Linked DNA regions of Oryctolagus cuniculus. The protein of the gene in region 1 interacts with the protein of each later gene in a pairwise test. Links are inferred from orthologs where the notes say so. Each region holds a gene or a part of one and is shown in the gene's direction. Other genes may lie near its edges. The genes, in order: EFHC1, ZBED1 and KCTD4.

Region 1 (3,752 bases):
CAGGTAGTAGGGGACGAGGGAGTCACTAGACAAGAAACTCTTTTGGGCTGGGTGTGGTAGACAGGCATCAAAAACTGCCTCAGGAGCCACTGAGTGCATTCCTGTCCTAGGCACCCCTGATGTTCATACCAACTGGTAAAATCCAACAGGGAGATTTGCTCCAGCAAGCAGCAATAAAAAGTAAAGCTGCCATCTATACAAGCAGGAAATTACCCACGAAGGTGACTTGCACTTCTGTGTGAGGCTTGCTACACTATCACGTTCCTAAGCTGACAAGTCAGAAACACCTGTTAGAAAAATCAGATTCCTGGGATCCACTTCAGACCCAATGAGTACAAATCTCTGGCCTCCTATGTTTGCTTTTTGTCTTTAAGATCTTTAGGCTGATGAATAGCGCTTTTTCCCCCCCTCCTAAAATGTCTCAGGAATAGGATAACATTTCTTTTAAGGAAAAACAAGTTTTGTAAAAGGCACCAAAGGCCAGAACACTTATGACGCTGATGATATTTCACCTCAGTTATTTGTTTCTTTCTCATCACCTAGTGTTTCTCCTTGAATCAGCTGTTTACCTTTGCGTTTCTTATCTTTGCAGTTGCAAGTACAAACTGGATTGGGATGAGCAACCTCTAGCTCTTGAGTCAACAAACGTTGAGTTCTTAGAGCATCGCATAGCGTCTGAAAGAGAAGATGCAAGGCACGCCACACAAGAACCGAGAGGGAGCTGAGCTGCAGGGGCTGACAGTGGAAGAAGGAAGGCTGAAGGGAACGGGGGATAATACAGCAACGAGACGATTAGGGACGAGATGGTTGCACTGGTTCACTGACCATCCCTGCACAACAGAAATACAACCATGAATGATCCGCAGTCCCTGTCCCCAAAAAGTGTGGGTCTGAGTTGGGTTCACACTTTCACCCGGACTAACCATCACACTAGGACAGGATTCCTTTTCCCAGAGCTGGGTGAGAAGAGTGCCTGGGCTCACGAAGCCCTCAGTGCGCGGTGAGATCGGCGAGGACCAGGGTGGGGCCAAGGAAGGCACCTATCTTCTGCAACTCCTCTAAGGGCCAGCTCGGACCCTGGACCTCCCAGCAAGAACGAACAGCCTCCTTTGCACCCGCCTTTTCCTACCCTGTCCCACAGCCCCCACGTAGCATCTTGGGGCAGACCGGCGGCGGTGACGCGGGGCAGGCGTGGCCATCTCGGAAACGCCCACTAGCCGCGCCCCGCCGTCGCGACCGCCTTACCGCGAGAATACGCAGCCCCGCGGCTGCGCACGCGCAGACCTCTCACGCCGGCGCCTCCGGCCCCGCCCCTGGCTCACGGGCTCTCAGGATGTTTGGGCGTTACCATGGAGCCTGGGGCGGCCTGCCAACGCGGCTGGTCGCCCCGGCAACCAAAGTGGACCATACCTGACCTAGCTGGCGGCGAGGATACCGGCTGCGATGGTGTCCAACCCCGTGCATGGCCTGCCCTTTCTACCAGGCACGTCCTTTAAGGACTCCACGGTGAGGACTTAGGTGCCCAACACCCACCTGTCCCCACGTCCCCGTCCCTAGCGGGTTCCCCTCGTACTACACCTTCATTCCTCTCTACCCTTCAAACCGACCCTCTGCCCCGACCTCGTTCTTGCTTCTCCTCCCAAGTTCTGTCTTCCTCATTAACCTCGCCTCATCTTCCCTCTTCCGTCCCATGTCCTCGGCGCCGTCCCTCTCTGTGGTTTTCCCACGCCATCGTGGCAGTCTGTTGGCGCTTCTTGGCCCTCTTCCTCCGAGCCGCTTTTGCACTTGCTTTGCTGGTCCGGCCCCCTGCCTCTGCTCTCTGGATCAGTTTCCCCCTTCCAACTCCCGAGCTCTGGCCCGGCTCACTCTCCCACGCCGGGCCCTGTCTGCCCACCTTGTCCCCCGGCCTCTCTCTTCCGACACCGTCACTCCTGCCCCCCTATCCTACCCCCTCTGCCCAGGCCCGTCATTCTCCTCCGCCCTCCTCCTCCCTCTTCTGAATCCTGAACCCTATAGTCTCTCCCACGCCAGCTCCATGTCCTGTTTAATGGGCACATGGATCGTTTCCATTCATCCCTTCTTTCTGCCGGACTCTTCTAATATGCGCCTTTCTCTCCAGCCTGTCTTTTCTAGTCCCACCTTCTTCCTGTTCTTGTTTGCTCTCCCCCATGCAGTTTTTTTTTTTTTTAAACTTGCCCACCATCCTTCCCTACTTTCTAGGGGATACTCCATTCCATCCGCTTCTCCTCGACCACAGTTGATTGGTTGTTCCTTTCTCTTACCCAGTCTGATTCATTTCACTCCCGAGTATTTGTGAGATTCCTCTTTTGATTTTGTTTTGCTCTTTCCTCCAATAGCAGCAGCAGCTTAGCATTTGCTTTAATTCTAACATAATTGGTGAAATATATTTTCTGGAAAATCAGTATTCAGTAATTTTATAGGCAAAGCAACAATAATTTATATATTTTAATGATTTAAGCACTGAAATTCATGTTCATATTTAAACACTTAATTCCATGTTCATAAAATTAAGATAAAATATTTGCTCTGTTTTCTTTGGAAGAATGAATTTAAATTGAAGTTGAAATTTTAGTGAGAGAATTTGGGTTCTGATAGATTTCCAGTTTCAGTGGACTTTTTGGTTGTATGTGATTTAGACGATGTTGTATGCAGTTTCCTGCCCCATGCAGGATAAGCTTAAGCAGTTGGTGATGGGGAGTATGGGTTATCCACAAGGCAGGGTTGAGTTGCTTTGGGGCTTAAAGATGTGTGGATAGAAGTACCATGCCCTAAAGGTAGACAGATGTATTTCTATACTTTAAATAAGATAAACTGTGCATTGGACATGTTTCATATGTTTTATTAAATAATTTTCACTTATTCATTTGAGAGGGCGAGAGAGAGAGAGAAAGAAGGTTGCCATCTACTGGTTCACCTCACAAATAACTGTGACAGCCAGGGCTGGGCTGAGGCCCAAAGTGGGAGCCAGGAATAAAACCAGGTCTCCTACATGTGTAGCAAGAACCCAATCGTCTGGACTATCAACACTGGGTCTGGATTAGCAGTGAGCTGGAGTCAGGTGCCTGAGCCGGGTGTCAAGCATAAGTACTCCAATGTACTATGTGGGTGTCTTAACCACTAGACCAAATGCCTGCCGGTTTCACATTTTAAACATATTGACCAAGTGTCAAACAATTTGCTTTATTTGAGATTTGAACAACATGACCACTATCACTTCAACAGTAAAGACTAGATATGTGTAACTCTAAGGGTACTCAGAAGGTGAAACTGATAAGTAGGAGGGGTAGTGGCCTTGCTTCAGGTACCTTTGAGTCATAATTGATGATAGAGACATCTGTCTAAAGCCAGAAAAGCTAACTGAAGTCCTGTTGTCACTTCTGTCTTTAGAAGCAAAAGAAGGGCCGGTGCTGCGGCTCACTAGGCTAATCCTCCACCTTGTGGCGCCGGCACACCGGGTTCTAGTCCCGGTCGGGGCGCCGGATTCTGTCCCGGATGCCCCTCTTCCAGGCCAGCTCTCTGCTGTGGCCTGGGAGTGCAGTGGAGGATGGCCCAAGTACTTGGGCCCTGCACCCCATGGGAGACCAGGAGAAGCACCTGGCTCCTGCCATCGGATCAGCGCGGTGCGCCGGCTGCAGCGCACCAGCTGTGGTGGCCATTGGAGGGTGAACCAATGGCAAAGGAAGACCTTTCTCTCTGTCTCTCTCTCTCACTGTCCACTCTGCCTGTCAAAA
Region 2 (3,652 bases), on another chromosome or scaffold:
GCATGCTCGTGAGTGACCGCGTGTGCTGGTGGGGCAGCACGCTGGCCATGCTGCGGCGGCTCCAGGAGCAGCAGTTGGTTGTAGCGGCTGTGCTGGTGGAGGACAGCAACAACCACCACCTTATGCTGGAGTCTGCTGAGTGGACCACTGTGGCGGGACTCGTGGACCTCCTGCAGCCCTTCCAGCAAGTGGCTGAGACACTGGCCACCTCCAGGTACCCCGCCATCAGCATGGTGAAGCCACTTCTGCACATGCTTTTGAACAGCACGCTCAGTGCCAAGGACACGGACCCCAAGGAGATCAGCATGGCTAAGGAGGTCATTGCCAAGGAGCTCTCCAGGACATACCAGGACAGCCCTGAGGTGGACCTGTTCCTGAACGTGGCTACCTTCCTGGACCCACGGTACAAGAGGCTGCCCTTCCTGTCTGCTTTCAAGAGGCAGCAGGTGGAGAACCGTGTGGTGGATGAGCTGAAGGGTCTTCTCGACAAGGCCCAGGATGCCCACTTGGGGCCGACAGCGTCTGAGGACAAGGTCTACCCTGTACCTGAAGAGCCGCCGGCCAAGAAGCTCCCGCTGGCATCCACACCCCCATCCAGTACCGCCATCCACGACCTGTTGGCTGAGATCTTCTGCCCTGTGGACTGTGGGGAGGACCAGGAAGAGTGGCACGCCCAGGCTATGGAGGAGCTGAGCAATTTCAAGTCACAGAAGCTGCTCGGCCTCCACGAAGACCCCCTCAAGTGGTGGTCGGATCGCCTAGCACTCTTCCCTGGCCTGCCCAAGGTGCTGCAGAAGTATTGGTGCGTGGCGGCCACGCGTGTCTTTCCTGAGCGCCTCTTTGGATCATCGGCCAACATGGTCAGTGCCAAGAGGAACCGCCTGGCCCCCGCGCATGTTGATGAGCAGATCTTTCTCTATGAGAATGCCCGGAGCTCTGGGGCTGAGGGTGAACCCCAAGATGAAGATGAGGGCGAGTGGGGCTTGGACCAGGAGCAGGTGTTCCAGCTGGGGGATGGCACCAATGGCACCTTCTTTGGCATCAGAGACACCAGCTTCTTATAGGGACAATGGTTTCCAATAGCTTGAGAACTGCGATGAATTCATCTTGAAAAGTCTTGTAGAAGTTGGCAGTAAGGCCATGAGGTTCTGGATTTGTCTGTCTGGGGAGGGTCTTTATGATTGATTCTGTGTCTTGACTAATGGGTCAGTTTAAGATTTTCTGTGTCTTCATGATTCAGTTTTGGTAGTTGTGTGGCCCACGGTGGGGATGTTTCCACTCTAAATATTGACTCGGCTGGCTCCATGTTGATCTCAGAGACAATGCACGGCATGTGAACTGAGACAGGTGAGAAGAAGGAAGAAGGGCATGGCCCTGAGCATCTTGGAGCCCACCAAATGAATTTTCCTCTGTGGGTTTCTCCTTATCCTTGAGACTCAGGAGATTAGCTCTGCACCCAGTTCCTGTCTGGCAGTTGCAAATCCCAAACCAGAGCACGCAGAATGTTTTTCCTCCCTGCAATTCATGTTCTTCCTGGGAGGGCTTTTGTTGCAGCCCTGGGCATCGTGGATGAAGGGGAGGAATGCCCGGAGCTCAGGTTGGGACACAAGGAACCTCCCCCAAGCATTGGTTATCATACATGAGCTTGCTGCACGTACACATCTTCCTTGAAAGCAGGAGGCTGCTTCCTGTGTAAACTTGGACAAGATTGCCATGTGCATCTCTTATAAATCCCCAAGTTTTATGGTTGGTGGTGAGAAGTGTTAATGAGCATAAAATGCACACATTTGGGTAAAAAAATGTTGTTGTGTGTGGGATATCTCTGGTCATACTGCCTGCAAATGGTCATCTCTAGTGTTGGCCAAATATTTGCTTTGTAGACACAGTCCTTCCAAGCTGTGGCATTCTGAGCCTGTGATTCCTGTGTCTCTTGATGTCTGATATGTGCAGTTGCTTTCGGGGTGATTGAGAATAAGGCTTTTCATTTTGTGACCTGCACTTGCCCAGCTCTTCACCATTCTGAAAAGTGAGGGTGACCAAGGCATATCTCTTGAATTCTGTTTTTCCACCTCAGTGACTTAGGAGGTGGTATAGTGTTATTTTTTTTAATTGTTATATTGTTTTGGGGGCAGAGGGTCATCATAGGTTTTCTTTGATAATTTTGGAGGAAGTCAAAAGACATTTTTCCAACAGGGGAATTATTTTAGAACTTGCCAGAAAGCCTGCTTTCCCTAAGAGGGACTTTGTGACTCCTGTTTTTAAAAAATTTTTGTAACCTTTTATTTGAGGTGTACAAACTTCATGAATTTCATGTAAACAAATTTAATGATTCTTCCCACGCCACCCTCCCTCCCTCCCACCCACACTCTCACCCTTCTTCCTCCTCCCTCTCCTAGTCCCATTCTTATTTTTTACTAAGAACTATTTTCAATTAACTTTATACATATACAATTAACCCTACACTAAGAGTTCAACAAATAGTATGAAAAACAACCAACAAAAAACCCCTTTTATTACACAGGAAAATGTGTGTTTCTGCAGACACCTGCCTCTCCATGCCTCATTTCTCATTTTTTAAGCCTTTTCTGTGTTTTTTTTTTTTTTTCATTGTTGCTTTACTCACTGACTCTTGGTGTGGGCATTTCACGGTTGAGGTGGCTGTGTCTCATATCTCAAAGCCTGGGTTCAGTCCCAGCTCCACCCCCCAAATCCAGCTTCCTGCTAAGGCGGATCCTGGGAGGCAGCAGGTGATGGTGCAAGTGTTCGGGTCCCTGCCACTCACCTGAGAGACCTGGATAGAGTCCCAGTCCCTGGTTTCCGCCTGCCTAGTCTCAGCTGAGAAGACGGCCCTACAGCTGCTTTTTTTTTTTTAACTTTTATTTAATGAATATAAATTTCCAAAGTACGACTTATGGATTACAATGGCTTCCCCCTCATACCGTCCCTCCCACCTGCAACCCTCCCCTTTCCCACTCCCTCTCCCCTTCCATTCACATCAAGATTCATTTTCGATTCTCTTAATATACAGAAGATCAGCTTAGTATACATTAAGTAAGGATTTCAACAATTTGCTCCCACACAGAAACATAAAGTGAAAAATAATAGATGATTTTTTTAAATGATGATGAAATCAGATCAGACCTATTGTCATGTTTAATCCCAGTGAGAGTCAAGTTGGGAATTGATAAATTTTTTTTTAACAGAAGATCAGTTTAGTATGCATTAAGTAAAGATTTCAACAGTTTGCACCCCCATAGAAACACAAAGTGAAAAATACTGTTTGAGTACTCGTTATAGCATTAAATCTCAATGTACAGCACATTAAGGACAGAGATCCTACATGAGGAGTAAGTGCACCGTGACTCCTGTTGTTGACTTTACCAATTGACACTCCTGTCTATGGCATCAGTAATCTCCCTATGCTCCAGTCATGAGTTTCCAAGGCTATGGAAGCCCTCTGAGTTCTCCGACTCTTGTTTAAACAAGGTCATAGTCAAAGTGGAGGTTCTCTCCTCTCTTCAGAGAAAGGTACCTCCTTCTTTGAAGACCTGTTCTTTCCACTGGGATCTCACTCACAGGGATCTTTTTGCCAGAGTGTCTTGGCTTTCCATGCCCTACAGCTGCTTTTCTCTAGAACGTTCTCGGTGGCTTC
Region 3 (3,752 bases), on another chromosome or scaffold:
AGAGAATGAGCATGAAAACAGCTTAATGTAATTATGAAAAGGTCTCAGGCATCCTTTACTCATATTCCCAGACCACATTTTGAAAGCTCCTAGTCTAGCTGGATGGTAAAAAGGCATACAGATAGTAGACAATTTTAAATCAGCAGAAGCATTTATGATACACCTCCACTGAACTCCTTTCCATGCTAATGAAGGCTTTCCGTTCCCCAATATCAAACACAGGGACAGATGCCCACAGCCTGCCATACGATACTGGATAGCAGGTCAATCTCTGGTACTCCCACATGCTTCTGCTCACACTAGGCTGGAACTTGTTTATGCTAGTTTCAGTATTTATGCAATTCTATTATATAACACATAAGCCCATCAAATTATGAGTATAAGTGAGGGGGTAAGCTTTGTTAATACTTGATATAAACTGCCGGAAAAAATTTAGGTATGTGTGAGATAAGCAGAGACAGGAAGAGAAACATAAGAATCTAGAAAGATCTGCACCTGTGTTGCTTCATAGTGTCTTAAGTTCTTGTTCCTTTTTGAAGCAACCAAAACTGAAAATCTAAACTAAATTATGGGTTTAATTTTTCCAGGAAAGAAAAAGCAGATGGTCATTCAGCACCCCATACTCAAAGGCCTTGTCTTCCATGTAATCAGCAGCTAAATGTACTTTTATAAGTTTTAAAATTAAATATTAAAGCAGGATGGGGCCAGCACTTGGCCATTTCTTCAATACTTCTTGGATTCCAGGAAATATTCATGGCTCCTTTCTAAATTCTGGCATACCTACCTCTCCTCTTTGTCTAGCCTGGCTTGTTAACTGGTTTCTGCTACTTGAAAACAAAAGAATCTTAGTACAAACACCTTTGGTGATGGTATATTGTTTATGTACTTCCTATCACTTAGTTTCAGAAAATTTTAAAGCACAGGTTACATAAAGTACATCTTATAAAAATAACTGAAGGCTTCTAGTTATGATTCTGTCACTAATTAGCGCTAGTTTGCAGAAGTAAATTCACATCTCTGTGCCACAGCATCTATATAATGAAGCCATTGGAACCTGTGGGATCTTCTCTACTTGTATTTCACTACAAAAACATTGGCCTTCCTCTCCAACTGAGGGTGTTTGATTACTTCATTGGTGCTATTTTGTTTGCTCTAGTACATTCTAAGGGAGCCAATATAATTAAATTTTCTTTGAGCAAAAACTACAGGGAAACTGTTTCTCAGAGCAGCAGCAACAACAAAACATTAAAAAACTGCCCAAGACGTGAAAAAGGTCAAAATGTTGTTCTAGGCCGAATCTTCCTACTCTGCATTTGAACTTGAGATGTACTCTTTTTGGGACAACCGAAATGACTGAATAGCCCTTTTCATCTGCTAAGGAAATTCCTAGGTGACACAAGCAGTGAGTAAGCAGGAAGGGTGCTCACTGGTGCTGGCACTGGCACGTAAGCAATGAGATCAGGCATGTCAGGAAGTCACAGGCATCAGGATGCTAGAGGCATCCATTCCCACTCTGCACCCAGCTGAATGTGGAGGCCTTGAAGAGCTCACTGGACTCCAGGTAGAAGAGACCAAGGGTGTTAGCAGCCAAGATTTTGGGGTGATCCTCAAGACTGCAGTACTCCCCTGGTTCTTCTGTATCTCCCACCTGTGTCTACACTCTCAGGAAAAGGACAAGAGATATTCCCAGAGACGAAGTGCATTTCAAAGGTAAACCATTTTTCATTTCTAATTGTCTCCTTTCTTTACACATGAGGCAATTTCTTCACAGTTTTCTGCTGTTGCTACCCTGTGGTTCTCAGATGAAGCCTATTAATACAAGCCACTTGGCATTTTAACCAGATAGGCAAACTTCCTATCCTAGTATTAATATAGAAGTTGGTCTTTATTCAAATATGCAAATATGTTCTTATCTCTATTTACTTTTCAAGAATCTTAGGAATAAAAGATGATGATCAGATTAAAGTAACCTAACCCTTTAGGGTTAGCATTTGATGATCTCAAAGGTAATGAATGATCAGTCACATAATAATATTCAAATCAGAAATATAATGAGGTTTCAAAATGTTTATGGAGGACTAGGATTAAAAGATACTGTGCCTTTTCCATGAACATTTTGAAGGCCCCTCCTATGTTCAGTGTGCTGTGGCCGTAGCAGCCATTTGGGGAGTGAGCCAACAGAAGGAAGACCTTTCTCTCTGTCTCTCTCTCACTGTCTATAACTCTACCTGTCAAATAAATACAAAAAAAAAAAAAGCTTGCTGTCTAAAGATGAACAAATTATCATTTAAATTTGTAATTTCCATCTTGCAGTAAAGTAACACTTGAAACAAGGAGGGGGATGTATAAAAATACCTAAAGCATTAGGAAACACATCCTTCTGGAAAACTCATGTCTCCTGGAGCACTGACTTATACCACACTGCTACTTTGATCAAATAGCGCTCAAGTCCACAGCAGAACTTAAGACCCCTGCATTTAGGAAGACTGCAACAGAGCTGAAGACTCAGTACTCATGAAACACTTACAGACCAGCTAATGGTATTAACTCAGCTGAATATGCTACAAATTCCATTGATTTTGTATCCTTCGTAACTCTTGGTCTCTTTCCCACGTTTAACTAGTAACAGTAGTCATCCCATATACTAGTTTAGTTCTTTATGATTTTCCAGATATTCTGAAATTATGAGACCCTCACAACGAAAGGGTAGAGATTTCAACCCCACCATTGATCCTTGAGATCAATCCCCTTTCTTGAGCTCATCCTTTTCCTTAATAGGGCACTTTTTGTTTGGTTTTGACAGGCAGAGTGGACAGTGAGAGAGAGAGACAGACAGACAGAGAGAAAGGTCTTCTTTTGCTGTTGGTTCATCCCCCAATGGCCGCTGCGGCCGGTGCGTTGTGGCCAGTATACCGCGCTGATCCGAAGGCAGGAGCCAGGTGCCTCTCCTGGTCTCCCATGCGCGTGCAGGGCCCAAGGACTTGGGCCATCCTCCACTGCACTCCCGGACCACAGCAGACAGCTGGCCTGGAAGAGGGGCAACCGGGACAGAATCTGGCGCCCCGAACGGGACTAGAACCTGGTGTGCCGACGCCGCAGGCTGAACTCACACACACACACACACTCCTCACTGGGCCCACTCCCAAAGATTCTGTGTTTACTGTGTTGTGGAGCATTTGTATAACCTCCACAGATAACTTTAATTCTTTCTTTGTCTCTCTTCATCCTCCTTTACACACACACACTTCCCTCCCTCCGTTCTCCTCTCCCCTTAAATTTCATTTTCTTGTGACATGAGGGGAAGAGCTCACGGGGCTGCCTAAATATTTCATTAACTCAAAGATGACATCAATTGTAATATTCCCCATTATTCACAGTATCATTAGAAACATAAAATGCTGCCACTAAACTTTGACAAGCCAATCATTTTGACATACTTCAATTTCAGAAACATCAAGTATGAAAAAAAATGTGAAATACGCTCGAGTTCTCTGTCCCTAATTTAAAACTGCTCTACTCTGTAAATAAGAAAGCACATTTGTCCCATAAGTCACATAGCCTTTACGTCTGTTCAGGCTCCCTTCTCCCCCTGCAGACACAGAGGATGTGAAGACAGCAACAGAAGGAACAATGGGAGGGGACAGCATTGGGGAGAAGAGACCCTCTTTGGTCACTGAACACCATCATCTTCAGGCATGTCCCTCATCTTGAGATCATAGATAATGGTTATTAACTTAAAACATCTCCTTCCC

Evidence for each region.
Region 2: the proteins of EFHC1 (region 1) and ZBED1 interact in binary tests that used the Homo sapiens proteins (3 or more experiments, as listed by UniProt). The two-hybrid records come from large-scale screens. The link is inferred for Oryctolagus cuniculus from reciprocal best matches to the Homo sapiens genes EFHC1 and ZBED1.
Region 3: the proteins of EFHC1 (region 1) and KCTD4 interact in binary tests that used the Homo sapiens proteins (3 or more experiments, as listed by UniProt). The two-hybrid records come from large-scale screens. The link is inferred for Oryctolagus cuniculus from reciprocal best matches to the Homo sapiens genes EFHC1 and KCTD4.

The regions. Positions count from the first base shown.
Region 1 is NC_091436.1:117,561,905-117,565,656, reverse strand, and holds the start of EFHC1 (EF-hand domain-containing protein 1), read left to right. Parts: upstream 1-1,270; 5' UTR 1,271-1,443; coding exon 1,444-1,506; intron 1,507-3,752. UniProt on the Homo sapiens protein: Microtubule inner protein (MIP) part of the dynein-decorated doublet microtubules (DMTs) in cilia axoneme, which is required for motile cilia beating.
Region 2 is NC_091433.1:98,523,482-98,527,133, reverse strand, and holds part of ZBED1 (E3 SUMO-protein ligase ZBED1), read left to right. Parts: coding exon 1-1,064; 3' UTR 1,065-3,652.
Region 3 is NC_091440.1:64,328,667-64,332,418, reverse strand, and holds the start of KCTD4 (BTB/POZ domain-containing protein KCTD4), read left to right. Parts: upstream 1-1,493; 5' UTR 1,494-1,710; intron 1,711-3,752.